Linked DNA regions of Daphnia pulex. The main gene of each other region encodes a partner of the protein of the gene in region 5 in a complex. Links are inferred from orthologs where the notes say so. Each region holds a gene or a part of one and is shown on either strand. Other genes may lie near its edges.

The links.
Region 1: integrator complex subunit 4-like (region 5) and integrator complex subunit 1-like share a complex: the UniProt entries of both Homo sapiens proteins name them as parts of the integrator complex. The link is inferred for Daphnia pulex from reciprocal best matches to the Homo sapiens genes INTS4 and INTS1.
Region 2: the proteins of integrator complex subunit 4-like (region 5) and integrator complex subunit 7-like are in contact, whole or in part, in a cryo-EM structure (PDB 8RC4), measured with the Homo sapiens proteins. The link is inferred for Daphnia pulex from reciprocal best matches to the Homo sapiens genes INTS4 and INTS7. Residues at the interface, in NP_291025.3 of Homo sapiens: Glu536, Met539, Asp540, Arg571, His572, Ala574, Tyr575, Asp578, Ser579, Ser610, Phe613, Arg620, Leu624, Leu627, Gly631, Glu634, Leu635, Phe638, Arg641, Asp642, Arg645, Leu646, Glu648, Leu649, Gln650, Lys677, Leu678, Trp679, Asn680, Val681; in NP_056249.1 of Homo sapiens: Lys137, Asn138, His140, His141, Arg144, Gln145, Gly175, His205, His206, Asp207, Ala208, Ser244, Ser245, Leu246, Val247, Lys282, Thr283, Pro284, His285, Thr286, Thr321, Ile322, Lys325, His326, Gly686, Tyr689, Glu704, Gln707, Gln708, Leu711.
Region 3: the proteins of integrator complex subunit 4-like (region 5) and integrator complex subunit 11-like are in contact, whole or in part, in a cryo-EM structure (PDB 7BFP), measured with the Homo sapiens proteins. The link is inferred for Daphnia pulex from reciprocal best matches to the Homo sapiens genes INTS4 and INTS11. Residues at the interface, in NP_291025.3 of Homo sapiens: Leu159, Asp161, Thr162, Arg167, Tyr203, Gln207, Asp244, Ser292, Gly294, Trp296, Arg299, Lys323, Met326, Ser327, Asp328; in NP_060341.2 of Homo sapiens: Pro183, Trp191, Lys194, Asp212, Gln288, Gln400, Gln404, Lys462, Met465, Ala466, Leu469.
Region 4: integrator complex subunit 4-like (region 5) and integrator complex subunit 12-like share a complex: the UniProt entries of both Homo sapiens proteins name them as parts of the integrator complex. The link is inferred for Daphnia pulex from reciprocal best matches to the Homo sapiens genes INTS4 and INTS12.
Region 6: integrator complex subunit 4-like (region 5) and integrator complex subunit 2-like share a complex: the UniProt entries of both Homo sapiens proteins name them as parts of the integrator complex. The link is inferred for Daphnia pulex from reciprocal best matches to the Homo sapiens genes INTS4 and INTS2.
Region 7: the proteins of integrator complex subunit 4-like (region 5) and integrator complex subunit 9-like are in contact, whole or in part, in a cryo-EM structure (PDB 8RC4), measured with the Homo sapiens proteins. The link is inferred for Daphnia pulex from reciprocal best matches to the Homo sapiens genes INTS4 and INTS9. Residues at the interface, in NP_291025.3 of Homo sapiens: Leu53, Gln54, Leu57, Gln58, Arg61, Lys62, Pro86, Ser87, Leu90, Lys91, Ser94, Gln125, Gln129, Asp132, His164, Gln207, Asp208, Pro209, Arg210, Arg212, Asp244, Tyr245, Glu246, Gln247, Trp296, Phe837, Gly840, Leu841, Val842, Val843; in NP_060720.2 of Homo sapiens: Lys2, Tyr4, Lys18, Ser21, Thr22, Leu43, Val44, Gln45, Glu87, Glu89, Leu90, Asp92, Asp97, Thr122, Glu145, Arg146, Val147, Pro148, Lys159, Glu174, Ser176, Thr177, Ser192, Gln195, Phe206, Gly207, Ile379, His380, Ser384, Asn385.

The regions. Positions count from the first base shown.
Region 1 is NC_060019.1:12,571,749-12,575,708, forward strand, and holds the start of integrator complex subunit 1-like, read right to left. Parts: upstream 2,801-3,960; 5' UTR 2,731-2,800; coding exon 2,553-2,730; intron 2,315-2,552; coding exon 2,118-2,314; intron 2,045-2,117; coding exon 1,406-2,044; intron 1,346-1,405; coding exon 1,263-1,345; intron 1,206-1,262; coding exon 971-1,205; intron 898-970; coding exon 656-897; intron 595-655; coding exon 468-594; intron 400-467; coding exon 160-399; intron 100-159; coding exon 1-99. Other genes in the region: histone H2A deubiquitinase MYSM1-like, read left to right, coding at 2,958-3,010, 3,066-3,165, 3,225-3,431, 3,497-3,843, 3,912-3,960. UniProt on the Homo sapiens protein: Component of the integrator complex, a multiprotein complex that terminates RNA polymerase II (Pol II) transcription in the promoter-proximal region of genes.
Region 2 is NC_060021.1:1,404,129-1,408,054, forward strand, and holds the start of integrator complex subunit 7-like, read left to right. Parts: upstream 1-1,126; 5' UTR 1,127-1,239; coding exon 1,240-1,333; intron 1,334-1,449; coding exon 1,450-1,579; intron 1,580-1,643; coding exon 1,644-1,767; intron 1,768-1,825; coding exon 1,826-2,468; intron 2,469-2,529; coding exon 2,530-3,124; intron 3,125-3,191; coding exon 3,192-3,926. Other genes in the region: 40S ribosomal protein S19-like, read right to left, coding at 33-223, 288-457, 526-596. UniProt on the Homo sapiens protein: Component of the integrator complex, a multiprotein complex that terminates RNA polymerase II (Pol II) transcription in the promoter-proximal region of genes.
Region 3 is NC_060018.1:12,410,290-12,414,262, forward strand, and holds integrator complex subunit 11-like, read right to left. Parts: upstream 2,801-3,973; 5' UTR 2,681-2,800; exon of another isoform or gene 2,618-2,680; 5' UTR 2,601-2,617; coding exon 2,475-2,600; intron 2,406-2,474; coding exon 2,223-2,405; intron 2,157-2,222; coding exon 2,040-2,156; intron 1,979-2,039; coding exon 1,880-1,978; intron 1,824-1,879; coding exon 1,530-1,823; intron 1,469-1,529; coding exon 1,250-1,468; intron 1,172-1,249; coding exon 1,058-1,171; intron 993-1,057; coding exon 675-992; intron 613-674; coding exon 470-612; intron 404-469; coding exon 277-403; intron 216-276; coding exon 162-215; 3' UTR 60-161; downstream 1-59.
Region 4 is NC_060026.1:13,198,591-13,201,776, forward strand, and holds integrator complex subunit 12-like, read right to left. Parts: upstream 2,014-3,186; 5' UTR 1,892-2,013; coding exon 1,721-1,891; intron 1,667-1,720; coding exon 1,563-1,666; intron 1,505-1,562; coding exon 1,382-1,504; intron 1,324-1,381; coding exon 1,207-1,323; intron 1,143-1,206; coding exon 662-1,142; 3' UTR 584-661; coding exon of another isoform or gene 535-583; 3' UTR 501-534; downstream 1-500. Other genes in the region: eukaryotic translation initiation factor 2D-like, read left to right, coding at 1-250, 326-457, 535-583; adapter molecule Crk-like, read left to right, coding at 2,698-2,729. UniProt on the Homo sapiens protein: Component of the integrator complex, a multiprotein complex that terminates RNA polymerase II (Pol II) transcription in the promoter-proximal region of genes.
Region 5 is NC_060025.1:5,267,393-5,271,539, forward strand, and holds the start of integrator complex subunit 4-like, read right to left. Parts: upstream 2,801-4,147; 5' UTR 2,586-2,800; coding exon 2,535-2,585; intron 2,468-2,534; coding exon 2,309-2,467; intron 2,194-2,308; coding exon 2,065-2,193; intron 1,998-2,064; coding exon 1,914-1,997; intron 1,827-1,913; coding exon 1,764-1,826; intron 1,686-1,763; coding exon 1,527-1,685; intron 1,424-1,526; coding exon 1,284-1,423; intron 1,221-1,283; coding exon 1,028-1,220; intron 916-1,027; coding exon 741-915; intron 629-740; coding exon 541-628; intron 474-540; coding exon 356-473; intron 292-355; coding exon 169-291; intron 106-168; coding exon 1-105. UniProt on the Homo sapiens protein: Component of the integrator complex, a multiprotein complex that terminates RNA polymerase II (Pol II) transcription in the promoter-proximal region of genes.
Region 6 is NC_060027.1:806,229-810,224, reverse strand, and holds the start of integrator complex subunit 2-like, read left to right. Parts: upstream 1-1,196; 5' UTR 1,197-1,311; coding exon 1,312-1,616; intron 1,617-1,677; coding exon 1,678-1,816; intron 1,817-1,877; coding exon 1,878-2,094; intron 2,095-2,150; coding exon 2,151-2,281; intron 2,282-2,344; coding exon 2,345-2,536; intron 2,537-2,605; coding exon 2,606-2,755; intron 2,756-2,837; coding exon 2,838-3,014; intron 3,015-3,069; coding exon 3,070-3,318; intron 3,319-3,380; coding exon 3,381-3,945; intron 3,946-3,996. UniProt on the Homo sapiens protein: Component of the integrator complex, a multiprotein complex that terminates RNA polymerase II (Pol II) transcription in the promoter-proximal region of genes.
Region 7 is NC_060027.1:3,457,078-3,461,170, forward strand, and holds the start of integrator complex subunit 9-like, read right to left. Parts: upstream 2,801-4,093; 5' UTR 2,663-2,800; coding exon 2,654-2,662; intron 2,585-2,653; coding exon 2,390-2,584; intron 2,326-2,389; coding exon 2,123-2,325; intron 2,063-2,122; coding exon 1,861-2,062; exon of another isoform or gene 1,799-1,860; coding exon 1,665-1,798; exon of another isoform or gene 1,598-1,664; coding exon 1,485-1,597; intron 1,421-1,484; exon of another isoform or gene 1,412-1,420; coding exon 1,231-1,411; intron 1,163-1,230; coding exon 723-1,162; intron 647-722; coding exon 456-646; intron 392-455; coding exon 224-391; intron 154-223; coding exon 37-153; 3' UTR 1-36. UniProt on the Homo sapiens protein: Component of the integrator complex, a multiprotein complex that terminates RNA polymerase II (Pol II) transcription in the promoter-proximal region of genes.

The DNA.
Region 1 (3,960 bases), on a different chromosome or scaffold from region 5:
GGGAATTTCAGAAGCCAATCTTATCATAATGGGTCGATCCGACTCGAGTGGCCAACCGTCTTTATTGTAATAATGCTCTCCACTTTCCATAAACAAAACCTAAAATAAAGTTGTAGGTTAAGATTTAATGAACTATTAATTGAACGTTACAACACTTACTTTACGGAGACAGTGCATATAATCGACCCGATTGGGCTCAAACACGGACGGGATGGACGTTCTTAACCAGCTGATCGATTCTCTTTGGACGGCCGATGCTTGGACGTGAAACTGTCGGAAAAGTTCCATCTCTCTCAAATCTCCACGGGCGACCAAAGATGCTGATTCACGCACACCTGGACTTATGGCAAGGAAAATGCATAAAGTCGTCAAGTCTGCCAATGAATTCAAAAGCCGATCCTGGTATCAAAAGTCATTATATTATTTCGTATTGCTACTAACATGGTTTTTTTTAAATACTACCGAACCTTGAATTCGAATTCTCTGATTGCAACTTTGCGTCTCTCTTGCATACAACCGTGTAAAAGAGCTGCACAAAATGTCGGTAAAGGTAAGTCGTGGCGGAGAGCGCGAACCACTTCACGTAATAGTGCTCTAAAAACATATAACATTAATTATACCCAGTCCACGTCTGTGAATTGCAAATGCAAAATACCTGAGTGCCCGAAGGTAATCGTCACGATTGAGTAGAAGTTCCATAAAAACGTCCGCTAAAATTGTGGCAGCACGATCAGGCCACGGTTGGACCAAAACAGCCAGTACTGCCATGTTATTCGGTCCTCGAGAAGGGGAGAGCTCATTGAATATTAACAACCGCACAATGAGTGGAAGCTGGTCCACCTGCTGCTCGACCAATTCTTTAAAACAAGTTAGATATGTCTGGAGCAGCGGTTTACTCTGAAAATCAAAAGAAGAAAGTATTACTATTTTTGTTCTGAAATTAAAACAAAAACATTGACGTTATTACTACCTTTAATCTCAAACGTAGAAGAGCATTTAGAACATCTGTGTCTGTAGGAGCTTCGGTACTGCAATTGACGCAGATCGAGAGGAGGAGGTCGGTGGCTGGTCTCACAAGTTTTTGATTGGAAAGCCACATTTCCAATCGCTGGGCAGCTTGAGTTCTTACAGCGGGCAAACCAGCTGTTGATGTCAAAAACTTTAAGAAGTTCCTTGTAGTGAGGTCAGATGCCGGTTGCTGCCGTCTGAGAAACCATTGATTATATTACCCTAACCTTAATGCAACTCAAATATTTTAATACCTGCTTAAATGTTGATTTACTATTTCCATGACAAGTGCTTCTGCCATGTCTTTGAGATGTTGAAATCGAGGAATAACTCGAACCTAAGAAAAAGGTAACAATGAAAATACAACTATGTGCATAATTTAAATCCCACTTGTTACCTGTTGCTGATCGAGATGAGTTGAACCTCGAAGCAGCCCACCCTGACTGTTATCTGAATCCACGCTGGCATCATCTTCAAGACCAGTGGTGCCAAGAGAAGTTATACTAGGAGAACTAGCAGCACCAGAAGATCCAAGTCCAGTGCCAGTAGCACTTTCTTGTTGAAGGATGTTCCTTGAAGGGACTTTGGTGTTGAATGCCGTTAGGATATTCTCGACAAACCCTTGACATTCTTCGCGATCTACCCAAACTCGTTCTCCAACGGAATCTTCGACAAAAACTTTCAAGAAAGATTCTGGCCATTCCGTTGAATCTTCTAGACCGGCTAACAACAAATTGCAAGCCAGTGAAGCTGCAGAAGCAGTTGTCCTTCCTTTAAAAGGACCAATACTGGCGGTAACGTCTCGTTTGAGTAATACCAATAAAGCTTCAACAATCAATTCGGTGTTGAAATATTGCGATCTCCATTTAGCTAAGTAGACAAGGGCTAGTGCAAGAATGGGTTCCACTTTATTCCGTTGACTCAGACTAAAGGCTTTCAGTTGCTTAACTGATCCACATAGGATTGCTTCAATTCTTTCTTCATCATCATTACTTTCAGCCTCTCCAATAGCATTCAACAACTCTGATGCTTCAATCTTGAATAAATTTTTATAAAGAAACATTATTTAAAGATAAATTGATAAAATCCAGAAGATTGAGTAACTCTACCTCTATAGCAGCTTCTTCCCATGGCTCTAGTCTGTTACCAGTCGAACCTGGACTGGGAGGATCAGCAGCCTTCAAAGCAGGTCTTCCCAATGCAGTAAAGGATGCAGTATTTGGGAGCCCAGGCTTTGCTTTCTTAGCTGGATTTTGAGATGAACCTGGCAGCTGGCTTGGTGCTTCCCGCTTTTTATCTGAAGGACCTACACAGTCATGAAACATATCATTCTTTAAGGCTAATGTACAGACTGAAAGAATAAATAATAATAGTAGCTGAACCGAGTTAAAAGAGATTGTTAAACAGGAATGTGGATAAGTTTAAAATTTTATAATCCATGTTCAAACTTAATTTATAAAAGGATATGATAAGCAAGTTATTGGTCAGGGTCAGGACCAGGGAAAGAAAGAATGGAAATAGAAATATTTTTGTTCTCATTTTACCCAAAGAAGGAAGTGGAGCAGGAGTGGGTTTTGATGGACCACCTGAAGAAGATCCTGATTTCTTTGCATCAACTGGTTCTGCTCGACTTTGCTTTGGTCCAAGAGCAATAAAATCACCAGAGAATCCAAGGGGTTTTGACTTGGAGTTTTTAGGCGGCAAATTCTTGCCCCGATCCATTATAACTACCGTCCAGCATTAACACCTCTTCGAAACTGATTTTGTTTTTGGTTGAGCCGAGTCTGCGAGTGTCTTCTGCAAGAAAGCGTGGTTGCATTTCTGTTTGTAAAGCGAATCGCATACGACATTTTCCTCCCCCCCCCCTCAACACGTCGTCTGCAGCAAATTGGCATATAATTAGTGATAGAGGCATCAAGCTTGTTGTGAAAACACATTCGTTAAGAAAAATGGAAGACGACGATGAAGTTGATGTTCTAGGGGATTTCTGTCTAAATCTTGAGTATGTACAAGCTTTTGTTTGCATGTTATTTGTACTAACTGACATTTGATCACAGGACGGATTTGAACCAATACGATGCCGGGGAGTTTCCTACACAGAATTCGGAATTATTGGGCGATTATATGCAACATCCTTGGCTTCTTGAAAGTTCACAAGTAAATTTTTATTCAAAGTGGTTTATATTTGGGTACAGCAAGATCTAACTTTCTCACAGGTTTGGAATATGCCAATGATGGATCATGCCAATGAAGATAAGAACAAAACACTTAATTGGGAGAATATGCTCCATGAAGAGAAAAAACACTTTTCAAACAGTTTACCCATGGCAAACCCTCCATCAACCACAACATCTGCTGTAGTTGCTTCAAAAGTGAGTCCTATGTGGACTAAAGATGATGTTGCATCTCTTCGTAAAGGAATTGTAAGTGTCGGAGTGGTTACTGATTATGGCAGGACTGTGTAACTTACTTGATACTTTTATTAAAGGGTCTACACAATCAAAATTGGAGCAAGGTTGCTAGAGCAGTTGGAACCAAGACTACTCTTCAAGTGAAAAGTTACATTAAATCACATCCAGAACTTATTACAAGTTCCTCAGTTCACATTTCCAATACCCCATCACCTCCTCAGTTCATCAATGAAGTGGAAGTTACAAACGAAGAACCAACCTTTCACTTTTCTATGGGTGACATTGTTTATGAAGCAGAAGTCCCTGCTGTATCCACAGAAGAAGTAATTGCTAGTGTGGCACCTACCAAGTGGGACTTGACTCCGACAAAAAATAGCAAAAAGACGAACCGTTCAAAACCAAAATCTCCTACAAAAGAAATAAGGTATGACAAATATTTAAACAATAACTGCCATTGATTCAATATAGATATTTTTAAAATTCTTTCTTTAGGCGGGTAAAAAATCCACTCTTAGTTAAGAAAGCGCCTGGAAGACCTAGG
Region 2 (3,926 bases), on a different chromosome or scaffold from region 5:
TGGTATGACACGTTTGGATCTTTTTTCACATTTCACGCCTTGGCCGACTTGATCTGGGATGCAATTCTGTCCAAATCGCGGAATCCTTGAGAGGTGAGACGGCGACCACCATTGGCGTCCTTCTCCACCAACTTGATGGCTTCGAGGGCCTGCAACACCTTACGGGCGACTGAGCCGGAGCTGCCGCAGAAATGGGATGGCCTCACACCATTGTTTTTGTGTCCTGCATAAATAATATCTCATTAAGCAAAAGAATTCTTTCAAATATTTGATGGTTTCCATCATACCTCCATAGATTCTCTTGACGGTCTTGACTCCGATGGGAGACCTGATGTAGATGTGCCTGGCCAGAGATGCCATACGGATGAGGAACCAATCTTCATCAAAAGGTGCCAACTCCTTGAAGACGGCAGTCTTAACAAGGTCAGCCCATTCTGGTACCTTCACTTTGCCAGACCTGATAAACCCGAACATCAACATAAGTACACTCAGAAGCAAAGTTTGATTTCAGACTTTTAAACTCACTTTTTAAAGAAGGCAGCCAAGGCCCTGACAAACTTGTGTTGATCGACGTCTTTGACAGAGACTGATTTCATCTGAAAATATACAAGAAAAGAAAAGATACCGTTAACGACTTGTCAATTGCTAGGGAAAGTCACATGTAGAGCGATGTTGGTAAAGAATTGACAAAAGTTAATGAAAATGACGCCATGTGCAAAACTTTTTAAAACTACAAAATTACAGCTATAGATGTTAGATTAATTTGTATAAAGAAATAGTACTTTATTCTAATTGTAACACTGAAAAATGTGGAAACTTCACCTTCGATGATGGCTGGCTGCGAACGATTTTTTTGCCGAAAGAGGAACTCTAGTAGCTGCCAACTGCCGATGAAACCCCTGATGCTCGATCCCTAAACACAAAAGAAGGGGCAATTTTTAGGAATTTCTTTGCAATTAAAAGATGATTTTAATTGAAAACTAAAATATATGATTTGCAATATTTAAGAATTTTTATTTAAACATTATTTGTATATGTTATTTCAATCGGAATCGAATAATTCCAATATATTCATAAATGGAAACTTTGAAGAGAGGAGAGCGTGTGGGCCGTGGGGTTACTGATTAGCACTTTGCCGGAATTTAAAGGGGATAGGATGTCAAGAGGGACAACAACATTGAACTTCAAAATATTCGAAGGAAAAGATAGTTTATTCAAGATTTATTAACCGAGGATAAAATGGTTTCCGTTGGTTTGAGAACCGCATTTAATGAACATTTATTTGGAGAACCAGAACAAGATGCAAACACAGCTTTAACAGAGCTAGACAAAGGTAGTTTACATGTTTTAACCTACTATAGCTATAGCTGACAATTTCCATAATGAAATTTTATTTTTATGTTATTAAAGCTTCTGATGATAATTTCCAAATCTTTAAAAAATTTTCAGGGTTACGCTCTGTGAGAATTGGTGAACAATGTGAGGCCATTGTTCGTTTCCCTAGACTCTTTGAAAAGTACCCATTTCCGATTCTGATAAATTCAGCATTACTGAAGCTGGCAGAGGTTTTCAGGACAGGGTATGAATTTACAAGTGTTAATGTTTGTTTATAATATCCAATCTGTGTTTCCGTCTTTCTTTAGAACAAATTTCCCCAGACTGTGTGTTCTTAGAGTCTGCCAGCAAAGTGAAAAGCATCTAGACAAGATCCTCAATGTGGATGAATTTGTCAAAAGAATATTCACAGTTATTCATTCAAATGATCCAGTAATTTTGCAAATTATTCTCATTTTGAATCAATCAATATTAATTCTCTTATGGTTAGATTGCAAGATCTCTGGCACTGAGAACTTTGGGGAGTATGGCAATAATTATTTCTGATCGGAAATCAGTGCATCACAGCATTCGCGACAGTTTGGACTCGCACGATGCTGTAGAGTTAGAGGCAGCCATCTACGCCGCATCCAAGTTTGCCGCACAGTCTCGAACCTTTTCCGTCAACATGTGCAGTAAAATTGCCGAGATGATTCAGGGACTGGCCACACCTGTAAATATCAAGCTCAAGCTCATCCCCATCTTGCAGTACATGCACCATGATGCCCACACGGCCGCCATGGTTCGACGTTTGTGCGCACAGCTCTTGCCCAGCTACCCTGCCCAAAATTTCGTCTGTGTGACACTGCACACACTGACGCTGCTGGCCAGTGAAACTCTGGTCGAAATCCCTCAACAGCTACTCCTGCTTCTTGAATATTTGTGCGATTCCAGGAGAGGTGTCCAGGCTCAAGTTTTGTCCGACTTGAAAATTTTGGCTGTCAAAGGTGCTCATCTGTGGACTACGTCCAACGTGGATGGCCTCATTGACCTACTGCTAGATCAGCCTCACCTCGAATTGCAGAGAAGAACGCTGGACGTTCTAGTCACGCTAGCCATGGCTGAAGCTGCAAACTGTTTTATCCTCAAAGCTGGTAATTCAGTTTTTAAAAATCAAGATACCTTTTTGTCGATTTCATTAAGCATTTTTATTAGATACAAAGTTACACTTGATTTGGAATCAGTGCTGCTATAGTTGCGACCGGTCTGTTGCAGCGAAAGCAGTTCAGCTACTTGTCCAACTAGTATTTATATCTAGCAAACAAGATATATTATCTTCTTCAGTGCCCGATTTGAGCCAAGACGCTGCCCTTGCTGTCGAATCGCTCATATTGGGCCTCTGCTTGGCGGGAAAGACCGAAGAGAGGGAACTTAAGATTGCGTTGACATCAGCCGTCCAGCTGAGTCGTGTCGCCGGGCCAGAAATCAGCGCCACCATCATTGATTGCCTCACTCGCCTTTTGCTTCAATCTTCCGGTTCCACGTTAGTCCTGCTGTGCCAGGCCCTGGCTGCCATCGGAGACACCCAACCGTCTGCCATTGTACCAGCATTGGTCGACATCATGTCAATGCTAAAGAAACTCACCGTTCAAAGCGATCAAGAGTTGTTGGCAATTCCTTTATTGTGCGTTCTCATGTTCCAGACGCACGCCTCTCATTGTTGGTCTCAACAGGCCAGCGAAGTGGTCCACGAAGCCATCTTCCGGGTCGACTTGTGGGTGGCTTTCCGGATCGCCCGCTCTGCCACAAGGTATAATTCCTTGAGCTTTAAATGTTTTCAATCTAGTTGGTAATTAATTTCTTATTTGGTTGTTTAGATACGGCCACCATTCGATTGCCCACAAGATACTGGATCGCTTGTTGGGCCACATTTCGACGGAGCATCTCTACTTTTGGATTCAGGGATTACGCGATTTCACCCTGGCCGAATCTCACCTGAGTTGCGGCACTGGACCCCCCGATGGTGCAGCCGTTTCTCTCATGGAAAGATTAGTGTTGGCCTCGAAGCTTTATCTGCAAGGATTGTCTTCACTGAAGGCAGCCACCAGCCCGACCCGCGTTCTTCAGTTTCAAGCCGAATTCGGTCGGTTGCGAGTCGAATTCCTGTCGGCGTGCTCTCAACTTGTCCAGGCTTGTCGAACGCTTCAGACAGCCCCACCGCCGGCCATCGCTCACGCCGTAGCGGCTGCCACCCGAGACGAACTGCAGCGCTGCGGTCGAATTACTCACCAGCTGAGGAAGTCGGTGGTGGTGCTCCGTCAGGTGGCCGAAGCCCTGTCCAAGCTGGGACAAAGCGCCTTCGACGCCGACCAGGAGAGCCTCACGAATTTGCAGCTACAAAAGCAGATGGCCTTGATCTTGGCCCAGACGGTCGAGTCCACCTGCCTCCGGGCGTCTCAGCAAGGCGTGATGACTGTCGAAGACGATTTGCCCATGATCAACAAGACGGTTCAAGCGGATCACGTCGCTGTGCGGAGTATGGCCACTCGATGCGCTGATGCCGTCGATCTCGTAAGACGTTTTCGCGATGGCAACCCTGATTTGAAACTTAT
Region 3 (3,973 bases), on a different chromosome or scaffold from region 5:
GTTGGGATCCACAAGTATGTGAACATTAAGGAAATAATTTACACTCGGACAATCGGAAATATTCGTGAAAGTGATATTTAAAAAATTAATCATTTTTTTATCAATACATATTGAGGGTATTCATTTCATGAAAGGTAATTCACAGAGATTACGCGACCTTATCAAACAATGACTTGTCGTAGTGAAGACATAATCCACGTTGCTAAATCTTCGTCCTAGAAAATAATAGAAACTCAGTAACTTTATTAGGTTTTGTTTTTAAAAACAACAATTAACCTGCAAGGCCCAGGAGATCATCATGGATTTGCGATCTTCTTTGTCTGTCGTCTCCATTTTAATACTAACCGACTCCAAATTGAGTAACCCCTCGTCAGACGGTTTAACCGGGTAGTTAGTATTTTGTCTGTAAATTTAAACAAAAGATGCTCAAGTTATATTATCTTTAAAAAAAAGTATTGAGAATTCTTACGAATTCAAAATAAGCTGTATCTGATCCATAGCTCTAATAGCGGTTCCGGGTAATCTTAGTTGGATACAGGAAGTGAATCGGATAGAATGCCGGTTTAAACCTAGTTCACCGAATGCCTGCTCGGGTTCCATAAGCTTGAGAACCTATGGCCAAAACAATGAATAAAAATGTAGGCAGAAAGTATAGCTAAATCAAGTACACTTACGTTGTCTTTCATGACGAGCACACCATGCATACGGCAAGGTCGTTTCGGGTCTGGTGCGCCAACCGTATCATAGAGAGCCATTTCTTTTTTCAGCAATGAAAGTGATACATCGACAGGAACAACAGGTTTGCATGGAATGTACGCCGACTCCCCGTTTGCCGGCATGTAACAGTCGATACCGTACTCTTGTTGAATTTTCTGTTTCAAGAACTCCATTTTTACGCCCTCTCCGTGAACAAGGAGCACATTTTGAGGCTCGCAATATTGGATTAATTGCATGATACCCTTGGCGTCGGCATGAGCGCTAAATGACATGTACTGATAACAAATGAATGGGATTAATTGACAGATATTTGGCGTATTAGTGAATCCTAATAACTCACCTGAACAGACATTTTCACTTCGATAACTTGTCTGTTTTCAATTTCAACTTTTTTAGCACCACTGAGAACTTTGGCACCAACCGTTCCAGAGACACAGTAACCAGGCATAATTAACTACGTGGGGAAAAAAGGATTCCAGTTAGTTGAAATAATTGAAAATATACATTTGTATTATAATTTATCTCTTCCTACCATGTTATTTTCATTGGGTGCCCATTTTTTGAAGAGTTGCAAAGAAAGACCTGCGTGAAGCATCCCAGGAGTGGCGAAAACGACCATTGGACCAGGTGTATCGGCGTAACTTTTATCGAAAGGACGGATGTGTTTGAACTCGAACATGTTTCTTTGAACAAAAGTCTTGCGAATCTTTTGATTGGTCCAGGTGATGAACATTTTGTAGTAATTGTTGGCCTATGAAAAGGGAAAAAAGTTTAAGAGGATTCAAAAGATTAACTATTTCAATCGAAGTTACCTTTTCAGTGAGACCCACAGCAAAGTAGATTGGCGCTTTAAGATTCATTCGTTCCCAATAAGTTTCCAAAAGAATACAAAGTTCTTGAGCTCGACCAAGTGCAAACACGGGAATGAGAACTTTGCCTCCTCTGTCTACACAATCATGTACTTTCTTTAAGAAATCCCGCTCTCGACAGCGTTTAGAGTCACGGATAGTTGTAGCATAAGTGGATTCCGATATAAGTATGTTGGGTCGGCATTTGTCGATCCAGGCGGCACCCAAGTGTCGATCCGGAGTCATGTTATAATCTCCCTAATAGATATATTTTACAGGTATGCACAGAACCAAGATTTCCAATATTAACTTACAGTGTACACCACAGATTGGTTGCCTACTTTGACGTGAAACATGGCTGCACCCAACACATGACCAGCATAGTAAGCTTTTATTTCAATTTCTGAGTCTACCTATAACAAAAAAAAATTAATCAAGATATGAAAACCCTGGCTGAAGTAAATAATGGTATACTTGAACAGTTTGATGCAGAGTGACAGCAATAACCTTTTTCATGCAATCCTTGATGTGAGCTGAAGTGAAAAAATTGGTTTCACCCTTTCTCTCTACAGCCACTTTCCTCATGTCCTCCTGTTTGGCAAGTATAAATTATGCTGTAACATAATACCAATTTGTGAAATGTAAAAAGAATCTTACCAAAAGGATAGGAGCAATAGCCTTTGTTGGATGAGTCATGTAAATTGGGCCATTATATCCAACCATTTCAGTCATAAATGGTAAAGCCCCACAATGATCTAGATGGAAATGGGATATGATGACACAATCTAGGGATTCTGTCAAGTTTCCGTCAGCAATGTATGAAAAGTCTGGAAACCGTCGCTACAGAATAAAAGATTTGGGTAAGGACAAACAAAACTTTGATGTTTGAACAACCAAAACTAAACTTACCTCATCATTGTACCCCATATGCATGCCACAATCTAACATGATATTCTTTCCTCCCATTTGTAGTAAAATACAACTTCTCCCCACATCTTGTCCAGCCCCAAGTGGTGTTACTTTGATATCTGTCATAGCTGAATTCAATTGGCCTTTTTCAAACGACCAAAGCCTTAATTAATAGTTTACAATTGTCCTTCAAATTTTCCACAAACCTGATTCAAATTTATATCATCAACATTCAACAGCACTGCGTGAAAAAATTTCTTTTCTAAATGAAAATTGGAAATAAATATTGCCGGTTACTCTGTTGCCATATTTCAAGCTTTGATCACTTTTGGGGAAAATTCGGATTTTGGAATTCGGAATCGGAAGTCGAAAACTCGAAATTGAAAATGAAGACAAGCCAATTTTCTAATCTTATCCCATCTAATTAATGGAGCATTTATTAATGAGCGTCTAAATTGAGTTTAATACAACGTAACTCCCTTTTTCAATCGCAAATACTGCGCATACAGATACTAACTTACTAAGCCAGTTTATAAGCCACTAAAGGTCGATCCTGCGAGGAATCTATTCTAAAATCCTTTGTTCCGTAGGTGGGGCAACACGATTATTAAATTCATTTTGTTATGAAAACGACGGGGAATTCAAAAAATAATAAAAAAATGTTAATAAAAAAAATTTGAACGTGCCAGGGATCGAACCTGGAATCTCCTGCTCCGTAGGCAGGCGCCTTATCCATTGGGCCACACGTCCTGTACGCAAACGAGTATTTCTTAAAAGTACATAAAGATTAAAGTTCTGGCCTACCCAGGTACACAAAAACTTTTTAGTTTTTACTGGGTGGATTAAAAATTAAATTAGGGAACGACATTTGTTTGTGAATTTAGGTATGAAAGAACTTATGGAATTTGATCAATTGAGTGAGATGACGCATTTTGGTTTCGACGCTAGCAAACACGGGCGGGGTTATTTGAGGATATTGCAGATTGCTTAAATAATTTATCTACCAATATAGATTTCCCTGATGGATCACTGACGTTCATCCACCAAATTATTCATATCTGTGGTGAATCCATCACTGCAGCCAAATAAGGCAAATGTGTCCAAATTTGTTATGCCTCCGAATTCAATTATGGACAATTTTGGTCCACAACGAACTTCACTGCGCTTCACTGGCAGACGCTGACAGAGGTCTGACGGCCATCAAATATTTGCTGATTGATTTTTGAAATCTTCGAATAGAAAATTTGCTTCTTGTCTTGAAACCACCACAAACAGCGCGATGCACAATAGAGGGGACATGGGACCGATTGGATTCACATATTATTTCAGCGCTAATATACTATGCTATCCATCTGTGGAAGAAAGTTTAAGCTAAAAAATCCTATGATTTGGTTGAAATTTAAAATGTTACTCGCTTAAGTTAAAAAAAATATATTATTATTTTTTAGTTTAAGAAAAAAAAAACAGCAATCGTCGATCGTCGATTAGTAACAAAATAG
Region 4 (3,186 bases), on a different chromosome or scaffold from region 5:
TGAGTGACGTCATGTTAAAAAAAGGCGAAGTAGCAGCTTCGCTTAGCTGGGAAGAGCTAATGAGCCGCTGTCAAGCTAAACTTTCAACAGTTTATGAAATGATCTTCCCAAACCAGTCGGCTCCCGTCATCGTGAAAGGAGAGTTGGAGCCAGTCGAGATTACCACGGCATCGAGAGCTGGCAACAAGAAGGTCACCCTCATCAGTGGCCTTGAGACGTACAGGATCGACTTGGACGAATTTGCTCGAAGGTACCAATGGTCTCACATTCTTTAGGTGAAGGGGTCTCTTAAAAGTAAGCGAATTTCTCTTGTCTGTTTGAATAGGTGCCAAGTAGGCGTGGCGGCTAGCACAACAATAACCAGCTCTCCAGCTAAAAAGGGTCAATTGGTGTTGGTACAGGGTAACCAAATTAGTTTTGTCGGAAATTTGCTCATCGATGAATACGGAATTCCCAAGTAATTTTTTTAAAACTAAATAATAAAATAATAGAAATAAATATTAACTTTACAAAATTTTATCTTTTTTCTAACAGGCAATTTATCCAAGGATTCGACTTAAAAAAAGCCAAAAATAAAAAATAATTTTTGCGAAATTGTATAAGAGAATGGAATCCGAAATAAACAACACGGAAAGATGGTGCCTGTTTAATATACAACCGACTATTTTCCAGGTTTCCGTTTTTCTTGCAATTTTGTGGCAGCCCGTTTCTTAATGTTCTGCAGTCGTTTATCGGCGTTAATGAGGGATGTGTTGCCAATAGTATTTCCAGATGAAGAATTGCTACTGCTGCTCGATGAGCTTGTTGACTTACTTGAAGCACCGCTGCCGCCATTTGGCTTCTGGGGCAAGGTTTGCTGTTTGCTGAAGTTAACTACCAGGCCGGCTGAGCTTTTGCCACTCACGGAACTCGGAGAGTCAGATCGACTTTTATAGAAAGTGATGGGACTTTCCCTACTGCTACTTGATTTAGGTCGACTAGCGGTCTTTTTCATTGACTTGCTACAATCGGAACAGAAAAAGACGGATCGAGGATCGTTAACTTCGGCGTCGCTAATATTCGGTTGGTGGCATTCCTGGTGATAAAGGCCGTGACATTCTTGGCACTCTACGAGCTGATTTCCAGAAGTAACATCCAGGCCACTGTTACGTAGAGAGAGGAAAAAGTTTGAATATTTTTATCACTATAACAAACAATAAGACTTACGTGCAAATAACACAGTGAAGATCCATAATTTCCTGAGCCAAGTCATCGGCGTCATTCAAAGAATCGAGGTCGTCGCTTTTTCGAGCCACACTTGGAGATCTCGAATTTCGTGGTGAACTAGGAAAATATAATTTTAAAAATAAAATTAATAAATAAGAAATCAAATGGAAAACACCTCCCAGCTGGTGAGCCAGGCTGTGAAGAACGAGGGGAATCTTTGAATTTCTTTGGAACAACTTCATCATCATTGAACATGTTATCATGTTTTCGCTTAGATTCCTTGTTTTTCTCAAGAACACTGTAATACAAGACTTAGTTAACTAGTATAAAGTTTATCCAAAACTGTGGATACATACCTAGAAGATGGAGATGAAGGTTGTGAAGATCGAGGAGATTCCTTCCTTCTTTTACTGAGAGGAACATCTTCATCAATGAAGAAGTCACTTTTCTTCTTTGTTTCCTGTAATGCAAGAGATTTAATCACAACAGCATAAAAAAAGTAAAAATATATTACCCTTTTGATCATCGTCAAAGGTGGTGGCAACTTGCTGACAGAAGAGTTGGTTTCATTCTTTAATCTTATGGCTTCATCCAACATAGATTTCAATTGGTCACCAGAATCTTTAGCACTAGAATGCAAAAGACTGATAGCTTTAATTAAATATGGTTCAATAAGACCATCCATTATCAAACTTAGAATTTAAAATATTAATAATAGTAAATATTTGTAATGAGTTCTTGGAGCTATTTTCAAAGCAAACCATTCACGACAGCACTTCTGTCCGAATCAACATCAACTTCAAAATAAATGTGAAGAAGGAAATGGCCCTCTGGTGGCAGATTCAATAAATTGTGCAATTTTATTTTCAACACTTTCTTTTTATTAATGAACAAAAAGTATGCAAATTTTGACACCAAATTTAATTAGCGCGCAATGTGATGTCTTATTTTTAAAAAAGAAAGAAATTCGGAGTTTTATCAAGAATTCTATAAATAGCGATAAGACTCAGCGATGACACCTAGCGGTAGTTTGCTAACGACGGCTTAGATAGATTTGTGAGTCTAGCCAGAAAGACATTCATATTCTGCTTCTGCACAGACGGACTCGCTGTTGCTGGTTTGGTTTTAGCTTTCGACGAGTTATTTTTTAACACAAATTTTTAGGATCAAGATAGCCGTTGTTCTTCTCTCTGTGATTACCTCACAACGAAAAGGAGATGTGTAGTTGATTTGGTGATTATAGAATCCGTTTGAACGATCGAAAGGTTACTAGTTATATCACGTCTCCTGTGATGATTACATATCAAAGTGATGTTATATGTGCTGTATGAGGTTCAGTGAGGATGTGAGGCCTGTTGGACACGGTTGTCGATTGTTTTCAAGTCGAGATAAAAGACATTTAGTCACCTCACAAAAGGGTGTGAGGGGATTTTCTAATTGACGAACAAATTCTTGGATTGTGCAAGCTTCCACCCCATTTCGCTTGCTGCCATGTCTACATTTGAGCCAGCCGACAGGAACAGGTAAATCATTTAAATTCCTTTTTAATCTCTAACAGGTCATTTGTTTCATTCCTTCATCAGCCAGAAGTTGGTGTGAATTTCTCAGGAAATTGCTGTTTGTTTGTGTTGGCTGCAACCACCAGATAACTTCTAGCTTCTAAATTTAGGTTTCAAGTAAAACCCCCCAGCCAGACGGTAAAGAAAAAAAAGGAAGATTGTTTAGAAATGAGAGAATCAGTGATGCATCCTGCATCCTCGATTTAGAAAGTCTCTCATATTGCCAATGTCCTTATTCTCTCTCTCAATTAAATGACTGATTCCTGACAGATGATGATCATGAAGATTAACTCCTCTACTGCCTTTTTCTCTACATCCTGCTGGTCGGTCCCCTCTCTCCCGTATATCCGGAGAGTCATCTAAGATAGGCCATGGATTTTCCGAGGGGTGGGCGTCGTGATAAATATTTAGATGTTGTATG
Region 5 (4,147 bases):
ATCAAAAAAAGGGTGAACGGTTAATAATTCAGGAACAAGGAGAAGTGTCAAATCTGGATGGCGGGGTCCTAGCAACTGCAGACAACGCCATATCGAACGTTTATCCTAAACAGATTTTAAATTACGCATGAGATACCTTCAATTAGGCGAAGCATTCAGAAAACATACTTGAGAATAACGTTTTAGATTATCAAGCAAAGCCTGAACACACAGCTTAAGACAAGCCTTTGTAGAGAGACGACACGCTCCCAACATTCGATGTAATCCTTCGCGGATTTCAACATTAGAATCCTACGATTTGCAACTTTTAATAAAGTAACTCTGAATTTTGTACTAAAAAATAGATACGCCATACCTCCAGCACTCCTAGGATGATTTCCAATTGATCTTCACGTAACACAATAAGTTGGCTAATCTTGGTCATACAGTCTATGGCTTTCAGACGCACCTCCTCAATCTCGTCATTAAACATACTGCCGGGTGCCGGAAAATTATTAAATGATCAAGCATAATACAACAGCATTTTAATGCATTACTTACTCTACAAGGAAATCCAAAGAAAGTGTTGCAAACCTTGGATTGGAAAGCGCCAATTGGCATAGCGAATCGAGAGAAGCACTTCGAACCTCTATAAAGTAAGATAAACACCATTTGAAAGGGTTAAGGTTTGTAGAGGATAATATTTGAATGAACTGAAGTCGAATTAATCAAAAGCAGGGGGAATATAAAATCACATTTACCCATAAACTCATCTTCGAGACCATGAACGAATGCTCCACAAGCCCCACTATGTATAAGAGAAACGGATTCGGCATCTAAATTTTCTCTAGGTTTATCATCTGCCCAACGTGCACCACTAGCCCATTCTCCTGATGTAACAGTTTCCCAATGCCTTTCGTGGGCGGATCGTTTGCGCTATTTTGGGAGAAAAAACAAAATTAATAATAATAAAAATAAATTTTAAAATTACTCGCTCATAATAAGAAAAGTCGAGTGTATATGTAAAAAAAAGTCGATAAATATGTACCCTCATATCAGACATCAACTTTTTGTCCAAGGTTTGTTCCAAGAAATGTGGATTTACATTGACCATGGATCCTAGTAACTCTGCAGCTAATGTTCTTACATTAACTGATAAATCACCTATAGCTTGACAAATCTTAGCGAAAGCATCATCGACTAAGTGCACTTCATCTTGGCATCCAGGAATAACAACGCAACTACAGAAAAAATTATTATTAGTTATTGAGTTTTGCTTTAAATATTCAGAGCATTGGTTTTACCTTTCAGGATATGTATGAGATAAAACCCAGATAATTCGCATTGCTGACTGTCTCACATTTTCGTTGTCATCTTGTAAGGCTGAGCACACATCTGAATATATGCACAGCTCTAATTTTTGCCCCCGGTCATGCAATTGGAGCTATATAAATAATAATAAGACCAATATATATTGATGTATAAAGAAGCGGAGTCATTGAAGAGAATAGTGATAGAAAAAAAGAGTACAAATAGGATATTCTTACCAGTGCATCATAAGCAGCCGTACGCACTCGAGGATCTTGAGATTTCGTAAATTTACAGATGAGTTTTACATTTTCACCTTGAAGATTATTAAGACTTCTCAAGCCTCCAAGTAAAGAAAGACAGTGGCATTTCACCAGGTGATTGGAATTGTTAAGTAACTGCAAATTCATTTAAATATATTACAATAATATATAGACTGATAAAATGCTTAAATGTTAAGCTGATAGCCTACATACCTTAGTGCCAATGGCAATAATTTTTCCAAGCACTGGGCTATCAGATGAAAGCAAACTGCCTAGCTATTTGTAACACAAAAAAATCACAGACAATTAATTATTATCTAGGTAACAGTTATAGTATATTACGACTAGTTGTTATATAGATACCTTTTTCAATGTGCATATCATTGAAGCACATACTTTATGTGAAGTCTCAGTTGAAATAAGTTTTATTATTTCATTGATTATAATCTATAATAAAAAAACAAATAATGCATCACAAACAAATAATGGAAATTTATTTAACAAAGCATATTACCTGAACATCAAATTTTGGAACTTTCCTAAAGTCACCTAAAATGCAAACAATTTTCAGGCGTACATAAGACTGTTCACTATGATGGTAAGTGTCAATAAGCTTTCTCAAAAGAACAACTTTGTCATCAGTCTAAAGAATGAAATAAATTAAAACAATTTGATTAGTGATGACGGCAATATTTGTATGACCTACAGTAAAGTAAAAACAACACATAAACATATCTTCTAACAGTCTTTAATCTTACTTGGAATGAAAGATTGAGCTGGATATGGTTTAAATAGGCCACCAATGCTTCACTTGTTTCTAGTTTTTCAAATGTATTGACGGTTACATGTTCATCCTCTACTGCACTTGAAAGGTGAGGTTTCTTCATTAACTGTAAAGGCTTACTACATGCTTCCTCCTAAACATTTAGTTTAAATATAGATTACAAATGTATATTCAAATTATTCATTTGCTTCTGCTTGTACCTGTACAACTTGACTATATTCAGCTAAAGCTCTTTTTTTCAATACCGCCATAGTAGGCTATTTGATTTTGTTCTCTGTTCTACAGATTTCGATCAGCAAGCAGCGGCACTTTTTTTTGTCTTTTTGGAATATTTCGTTTCTTACTTCTTGTAAATTTTGTAAACAATGTATGATTTACAGCTGTGGCTGTCTCCCTGTCTGCCACATTTAGTATGTGCTAAACAGTAACTTTTCCAGTGCTTCCACTTCTGTTGTTTCTGGGATACGCCGTGGCGTTGCCAGAAAACCTTATTTAAAGTTTTCTGTTTTCGAGGGAAAACCCCCCCAAAAAACCCTGTTCATTTCAATGAAAAAAAAAGAAAAAGAAAAGAAATTGAAAAAACAAAACGAATTTCTTTATTGCTTTTTGACAAGTGTTTGACTGGACATTTCCGAATAACATTCTCACATTGAAAAAGTTTTCACATTTTTTGGGAGGTTGTTGGAAGTTAACGGTAAGAACATATAAAAGGTTAAAAACCCGGCAGTGGCCTAGAGTGGCACGGAATCTCCAATAATAATAATAATAATAATCAAACTTAATGCCATTCGATAGAGCTCGTTAAGCCGATTCGAATGGTATATGGGAAAGTTTGTGCAAATGAACGCATCCCTGAGTAAATCGACTTTAAAGTTTTTGGTTTACCGGGCTTCCGTAGCGTCCTTGGCCGCCCCTTTGCGCACCCCTGAGCCCACCCCTCGTCCCTTGAGGGATCACCCCTATTTTATTTTGCGGTACCTGAGAGCCTTTTTAGTGTTTTTATGTATTTGAAGTCCGTCTTTCCATAATTGTGGCCACCCTATGCGACTCCATCAGTCATCGGCTTACCCTGACGGTTGTTATTGGTATTGCGACCCCTCAACATTCCATTTGCAATGGAGACATTAGCCTTAACGGACTTAACTTTATCGACAAGTGTTTTAGGGATAAGGACACTAGAAGCAGAATGATCTTCGTAAGACCCCCAATGCTTGATTCGAAGGAGAGAACAAACAGTTAGATTGTGAAGCGGATTACGATGGTCCGTTTTGATCAGTTTAAAAGCACTAAATTCCCGTTCAGCTATAACATTGCTGAACGGCATGGAAAACAGAAAGTCAATACAAATGCTGAGATTGGGAAATCTAGGCTTCCCGTCGATCTTTAAAGACAGCACTCTGTTCCAATACGTTTCGGTGTCAAGAACTCTAACCTCATGACAACATTGTCGTCTGGGGAATTGGAACAAGCTTCAGCGATTTGAAAGTGGAAGCACTGAACTTTTTCCATAATTGCCATCGTGAATCGTGATTTTATCAGAGCACAGTGATAGAGAGTATGGTGAAGCAATGTTGTAAATTTAGAAATAGAAATTTTTTTATTGCACATTTAATGTAAATTTTATGAAATTATACAGAAGTCTCTGTCCCCTGCTTTGTTCCGCTGCTGGTTGTGATTCCAAGAGTACTCTCAGCCTGGAACCATCGAAAGAAATGTCAGTGATTGTGTGTTTTCTAGAAGGTAAAAAAACATTATGTTTTCTGTATAATTTAATTAAACAGTAAAATTCACTTATATTTTAAAATGCAGATTG
Region 6 (3,996 bases), on a different chromosome or scaffold from region 5:
CGTCTGCCAGCTTTTTAAACGTTCTCGTTTTTTCTTTTAAATGTTTTTTTTTCCTCCATCGTTTGCAATTTTCTAAAAGACAATAAAGGTAAAAAAAAAATAATAATTAAAGATTTCAAAATAGTTGAATCCGAGCCGAAAGAGAGAAGAAACGAACAATTTAAGTACTAGGGAAATAAAGAAATGGAGAATGGCTACGTGAAAACTTTGTTGCGATTGCGGGCCCCTGTAAAGATATCAAGGAAGAGATTCAAGAATCATCAATCATTTTTCCCCCCTGCGTGTGAGTGAGCGTGTGTGAAAGCGTGTGCGTGAGTTAATGTACTGCTATCCCCCCTCCCCCCACATTTCTTTCTTGGCAACACACAACATCAACAATATGTAAAAGGATTGTGAAAACCTCTTTTACTTCCCCCTAATGGCTAAATATTACTTTCGCACGCCCTGCACTCCCACCCACCAACGCTCTTTCGGCTAATAATCACCTATTTTATTATTAACTGTATTCGTGTCAAAAGTCATGAAAGAAAATGTCGTCCCTTCGTTTTTTTTCCCCCTCTTGCTCGATTCCATAATTTCTTTTTGTTTTCTCTTTTGTGTTTGTGGGGTTTCATGATTTTCAATTTCAAATTTGCCGCGCACAGCAACGGTTTGCCTTTGCTTTTATTTTTCTCTCCCCCCCCCCCCTATTTTCTGTTGTTGATAGTCACGCCAATGTCCAGCCGAGGTGATTGTGTCCACTGCTGCTTCTTCCTACTCTCTTCTCTACTTCTTACAACCACATGGTAATTAATTTAAAATATTGATTGCGCTGATTTTTTTTTTAATTGGATGAGTTTCGTTTTTATACGTTCAAAGATTGTGTTTCCTTTCCGTCTTCAACTTTTGGATGCAATACCCTCCACATTTTGTAATCCATTACGTGAGAAGTGCGAGTTACAACATTGTAGCGCAAATAAATGAAAAGCAATGGGGAGAAACGTCTTTTTAAATCATTATAAGTTTATAACTTGCTATTATCATGTCCGTTGAGTGCAACATTAGTGCCCCTTGTAGCTTTGATCATCTTGTCATCTGCTCAGTCGGATGACGTGAGTCGTGAGCTATCCGAGCAATCCGGATTCGCCCTAATAAGGCGCCGTGTAAACTGTAGTTCCTACGTTTTGCCGCTAGAGGATCAGAATCAGTTTCGTCTGCTCGTTGCCTTGACAACACAATGGTTCACATGAAAATCAAGCTTGCTATGTAAACCACTCCATGGCGATTTGTTGATTGATTGTGGTCTTAAAAACACAATATTTTGCCAATAAAATGCCGATGCCACCGATTCGTTCCGTTTCGAAACGAAATGTTTCGCCTCGTGTGTTTCAAGCTCTACAGAATTTGGATGTAGATAACTTAGCGGAATGTAACGAAGAAGAAATTCGAGCTGTTATGCCATGTTTGGCTAGAATGAGTTTGATAGGCCCACTGGACCAATCTAGTGAATGCACCAAATCTCGAAGAATGGTCTTCCAAATATTATCCGGTCGTGAAATTGTCAATTCCATAGTTGGGTTACTTTCAATTGATTTCCATGCTCTTGAGGTTGACGTCAAGAAAGAACAAATGCTACGGTATTTTCTTTACTATTGTTATGACTACTTCTTTTATTTTTAATCAAAATTTGTATTGCAGTCAAAAGCTTGGTAATCAAACTGAAGACTCTGTCTTGATTCAGTCACTATCAAACAGTTATGCACTGGAATTTGAAAGGAGTGATCCAACGAGGAAATTAAGGCTGTTTCTCAGTGAGCTCCTCACACTCATGGCACAAGTAGATTCCTCATAAAGCATTCATTTTCCACAATATTATTGTTTCTTATTTTAATTTCTAGAGCAAAGAAATCAGACCAGAAACCACATACAAAAGCAGTGAACTGTTGGACCAGGAAATCTATTTTGATGAAGTAGCTGATGTGCTGTGTGTTGCTTTAGCAGAGCTGACAATTCTGCTACCTATAACAGAAGTTGCAGAAGCTCTCTTGAGAACACTTCACGGTCCATCTTTCATATGTCGAATAGTGGCTAATATGCCTGATACTTTCAATGAAGGTAATATTTTTCCAAAGTGTGGTTTGAACTATATTTTAGAAGTAGTTTGTTTCAAGTTTGCCAGAGTTTGATTAGCAATGGTGAAAGATATGAAGAAGAATCCTTCCTTGGACGGGCCAGATTAGAAACACTTAGATCCCTCTGCAGGATGTGCCCAAATCAGATTTTGATGATCCAACTTAAATGTGTAAGTTTTTTTATCTCTGACAAAGCTTTGTTCTCTTTAGTTTAAGGTTTTTTTCCCTATCAGGTGGAGATGTGCAGAATGCCGGCTCTGGCTGTTTTACTTAGTTTGGACTATGCATCCTGCCATAAAATGATCAAAACAGATAAAATTGAAACCCAGTTGGGAGATGTCGTACCGTTTATCTCTGGTCTACTTTTGGGTGGAGATGCAAATATCCGCACCTGGTTTTCTCTTTTCATTAGGAATGGACAAAAGGTTTAGCTTTCTTTAAATGTACTTTATGTTAGCCGTCAACGTATTTAACTCTATTTCCTTATTTTACAGCGACATGATCGTGCCACTGCGTTACATACTTTACGCCAAGAGCTACTGAGAAGTTTGCAGTCGTTTGTTCAAATGGCTGCTGATGAGCCGTTACCTGACCGTTGTGCTGTTGATGCGTCGGCCCTTTTACGACTGTATTGTGCTTTAAAAGTAATTCTATTCATTCCAATAATAGTATGTTAGATAGGGGTGTTGGAATTGAAAAACTAACCCTTTATTTCAATATTTGTAGGGTATAGCAGGAATGAAGTTGTACGACGAAGAAGGTGGGCTTTTATTGCAATTAATTACCTGTCGTCCACCGCCAACCGAAGCTGGCCTTCGTTTCGTTGCCCTGGGACTCTGCATGCTGATGGCTTGTCCATCTCTCATCGCCTTGCCCGACCAAGAACAAAGCGGTTTTCGATGGGTATAATCGCAAGTTATTCGTAATTAATATCAGTTGTTATATTTTGTGATTTTAGGTGAAATGGTTGGTGAGGGAAGAAAGCTACTTTGAAAAATCGCCAGCGACTTCCTCTGGCAAGTGCATGGAAACAGCGAGGAGCAGTTTTGGAGAGATGTTATTACTAATGGCTATCCACTTTCACAGTGGACAGTTGAGCGCAGTTTGCGACCTGGTCTGCTCAACGCTTGGCATGAGGCTTTTACTCCGGCCCGCTTCTACTGCTCGTATGAAGGTGGCATTTACTCAAGACATATTCCCAGAGCAGGTTTGAGCTTTGTTAACAAGTTTATTTGGTCAAAATCTTATCCTTTTAAATTCGAATGTTAGGTGGTGACATCTCACGCTGTCCGAGTGCCCGTCACTCCCGGTTTGAATGCAGACGTTGCAGGATTCCTTCCAGTTCACTGCATCTATCAGTTGTTGAAAAGCCGAGCTTTTAGTAAGCATCGCGTGCCGATCAAGACCTGGGTTTACCGCCAGCTTTGCGAGAGCCGTCCTCCATTGCATCCACTTCTTCCTAGTTTGGTCGAAGTTTATGTTAGCTCGATCCTGACGTTATCTCCATCGAAAAACCAACAGAATCAATCGGGCGTAGCTGGTTCCATTGACATTGGCCATGACCCAATCAGCGAAGAGGAAATTCGAGTTGTGTTCGCCAACAGTTTTTCCAGGAACGTTCGCCGAGCTAGCACAGACGGGCAGGAGCATTCCGTCACGGCCCAGCTTTTACTTTTATATTACGCTCTACTGTATGAGGATACTCGTCTGACTCAAGTCAAAAACTACTTGGTGGCTGGTATCAATATCAAATCCTATTCTCAGTCGTTCTTCGCCGATTTGCCTATTCGATATTTGATCAGTCAAGCGGAAAAAGAACAACACCTTTATGCGGGTAACATTTAAAAGCAAGATTGGCCATTTTCTCCAATCCGCATGTTAATCC
Region 7 (4,093 bases), on a different chromosome or scaffold from region 5:
TATAAGAGAAAAATTCGAATGTATTTATGGTGATGTTCACAAACAAGGTAGACATTGTAGCAAAATATCCCTCAAAGTTCTCCGTAGCGCTTCATCATGGCAGTAAACATGAGTGTTGGAACCTTCCAGTTGAATCACAGTGTCCTCTCTTGGCTAAAAGACAAAATTGGAAAGACAAGTTATTACGACTCTTGAAATGACAAAATGATATACGGGGTAGTACCAAGTGAATGACGACGCCTCGAGGAGTGTCTTCGACCCGAGCATCTAGCAAACCATGTTGACTGAGCAAATGCAACAGTTGAGTTGTGTCAACAGAGCCCCAAGGATGGCGAGGCAGCATTCTCTCCGACGCACTGTACAATGTGCCTCCTTCCTCTTCGTTTAATACCTAGATTTGAAAATAGTAAAAAGCTATGAGACACTGTCACAAGTTAGGAGAACAAAGGACTCACTTTCAGAGTAAATTTATTGTCACGAGCATCCAATTTTCCAGTCAGAGTAGAAGCTGAAAGGCCCGTTTTAAATTGGATGGGTTCGAGACGAGAGGCCAGGGCCGGATCAAGATGCACTTTTTCCTGCTTCCTCTTAATTGGTAACTGTAACACCTGGTAGGACTTCATACCCAATGCTGGTGGATCCAATTCTAAAAAAAAAGAAAGAATAAGGTTAACTGACTGGCCAACTAGATCCAGTTCAACAGGAATCGATCGAAGACTTACCCTGAATAACCAAGTCTGATCTTAAGGGAGCCGACACTGGCGGGTGGAGGTAAACGTCTGGAACGAGTAAGTTTCCTGGCTTGAGATCGCGTATCAGTTTATTGGCTTGAGTGAAGCTCAAACTCGTGTCAATGGGACAGTGAACGATTTTCATGGTCAGTGGTTGATAGGGGGCCAGCGCTTCCAGGTAAGGGAAATCGGGTTCAACGAAGACGATACTGTGGTTGCTATGACTGCCCCATAACTCTATGAAGTGAACTACATTGCCAAAACGAAGGGAAGGATGACCGCAAAATACGACACATGGCTGTCTGTACTCGTTGGTGAATCCTTCGGCATGCAGGCTTGGGAAGTGTTTCAGTCGACCATTTTTGATGAGATGGGCGTGAGGAAATGGTTCTTCTGGGAGATAAACTTTGCTCTGCTTGCCTGAAGATAACCTATATGAAATGAGGATGATAAGTTGACTAAACATTTTCGGAAAAATAATAAATGTGACAAGCCGAACCATTCAGCGAAGATGTTGGAATAAGCCAAGGAAGTTTCGGCCACGGGAGAGAAGAAAAACAGCGGAATCTGACTAAGACCAATATTGTCTAAATGAACTGAGAGACATTCGAACAGATCGTAAAGAAGGCCGGAAGGGTGACATGGGACTAGGCAAGATCCGCCCGATCGTAACGTGGATGCTGCAAAAGGTTTAAGGAAACATTGTTAGTTTTTTTCTAATGTAATTTAATAGAATTTTACTATTTGAATTACCAACTGCCATGCAGAATTCGCCCAACATTGAATCTGGATTGGCCACGGGGGTCTGAGTCAACGCTGTCAAGATCAAGAGATCGGCATTTCTAAGGGCAACTTGATCCATCGGCCTGTATATGGAAAAAATGGTATAAAATTAATTTGTTAAAAAAGTAACACTAATTAAGCTTATAGAACCTTGGGTGGGTCGTGAGAGTAGATGAAGCGCTCACGTACGCAATCTTCTCATAGCCGGAATGAATGATCCAATTGCAACTACCAAGGGAATATCCAGAACTGACGGCCATCACAGTTAAAGCACCACAGATATCCTAAAAGTTGTCGGTTAATATTGTTTCATAAGAATTTTTTAAAAATCCGAAAAAGGACGTACAATTTTTTCGTTGAAGCCAACCATGCGAACTTTTGCCAGGGCTGCATTGATGGCTTTTGTGGAATAGACTTTCTTCCAATCATTTGGTCTCAGAGCCCCACTGAGAGGAGGAGGAAGAGACTGGAGTACTTGCTTCCATCTGTTTGCTCGCTGATTTTTGGGAGTCCTTTCCAAGTAGTTGACCAGTTCTTCCATGTAGAGCCTACGACAAAGAATACAATATAGTCTCAATATTGTGTGACAACAATTGCAGGTTGCATACCTTCCAATCTGCAAGGTGGGTTCAGTTGCATATACCCTCCCTTTAAAGCCAGTTTCTTCAGTGATGAATGGCAGGGCCAGCATGCAGGCATGATTCGATAGCAAGATGGTATCCACATCAGAGATGTCAAAAATGTCTGACTGAGGGGGCAGTATCTCTATTGGGCCATCCACCAACACTCGATTTTCACATTCTTTCAGTTCCTATACAGGATAAATGAACATTTGAAATGACACGAAGATAGAGAAGAGATCAAATCTAACTCACTCCATCAAGAAGTGCAGCATCCTGTGTGTCTCTCGGGATCCAGTTTGGTAAATTTGAGAGCCTTTTGCTGGCAACGAGAGGCAGAGGTAGAAAATGAAGGGCCGAGTTGATATCCAGCCCACAATCGAGCATCAGCGAAACGCCTTTGAAATTCAAGATGTTGCAGGGTTTATTTGGGTTGGCGCCCAGACTGTACTATGTAAACAGAAACTGTGTTTATCAGACCGCTCCATTTCGGTGAAAGGAAAATATTAAAATGCTTACGATTTTCATGTTGTGGGCGCGTTTTATCTGAAAAGTGACAAGAAAGAATTTTTATTTCAAACTCGGTATATGACAGACAGATCCAGACTTGTTTGTTTGTCCGGTTCGTACTTACTACACGAGCTGCTAGCAGACTAACATTTGAAAACCCAATGCAGCGTTGTCATTTTTCAACTTGAAAAGATAGGTTCATTTTATTTTATTATTTTATTTTTTTAAATAAGAGCGCCGGAACGCGAAAGAAATAAATCTAGAATAAAAATTGAAATCTGAATCACATATTCGCTTTTGAGAATGTGTATTGAATAACGCCATCGGATACGCAACAAACAAGCGAAACAAAAGAAGCTACAAAGTTACACACATTTTGTCAATGATTAAGAACGAAAGAATATTATATCACTCTATACAGTTTTGTTGGTTGTCAAAAAAAAAAAATTCGTCCATTTCGTCGATTGTGTTGCAAGACACGCCCTTATCAGTTCTCCGTCCAGTAGGGTGTTCAACTAAATCTTGGTGCAACCAAGAAAAAGGAACTTTCCAAAAAATCTAACCGGACTGGTGAATGATAAGGCCAAGTCATTGAACCATTTTCTCCACAGCGAGAGATGATACGTGATGCTCCTTCAGCTTCCGGTGTCGAAATGCCTCCTATATATATTTGATGCCCCTGCAACAACAGAAGAAAAAAAACACACACACAATAAAAAGAATCCAATAAGCAAGACCCAAGCAAGAAAATGAAGAAAACAACATGGTCGATGATCGGCTTGGCCTCTGTGTTTGGTCGGGAGTCTGCTGTGTGTCTGTGTGAGAAGAGAGAAATAAGAGCAGACACGGTTACTAAGGGGGAGAGAAAGGGAAATGAAATACGATGGGGGGGAACACAACACACACATCACAAATGGGTGTCGGAGACGACCAACGACTATACCCAAAGAGGGGAGAGCATTTTTCCTCTGTATATATATATATATACGTGAGCAAAAAGGAGAGAGTGAACGGTCTTTTACAAAATGGGAAACATCTGCCCGGCTGCTGGCCCTTTTCCCATATCAAAAAGGAAAGAAAAGAATGAAAAAGAGAAGCTTTTGTGTGTGTGTTTGATATATACCATGGGGTAGGTGGTAGTAGTAGTACAGTAGTGTAGTTGGGAAATCAAAAGAGCTCAGGGGCCTCCCCCCTTATTCACCAGAAATGAAAAAAGAGAAAAAAATGTCGATACTCTGCTGGGTCGGTTGAGTGATCTATCGAGAGAAGAAGAAAAATGTGTGTTCCAACACACGATAGCTGCTGCTGCTAAAGGCTCTTACAAGAAATTGAAGCCGGAGCAATGTGAGATGTGTCTCTCAACACTCGAAGAGAGAAAGAAGAGGAAGCAGCAGCAGCTTGCTTACGACGTGTTTGTTGTGTGTGACCTCGTCTGACCGTTTTAACCAT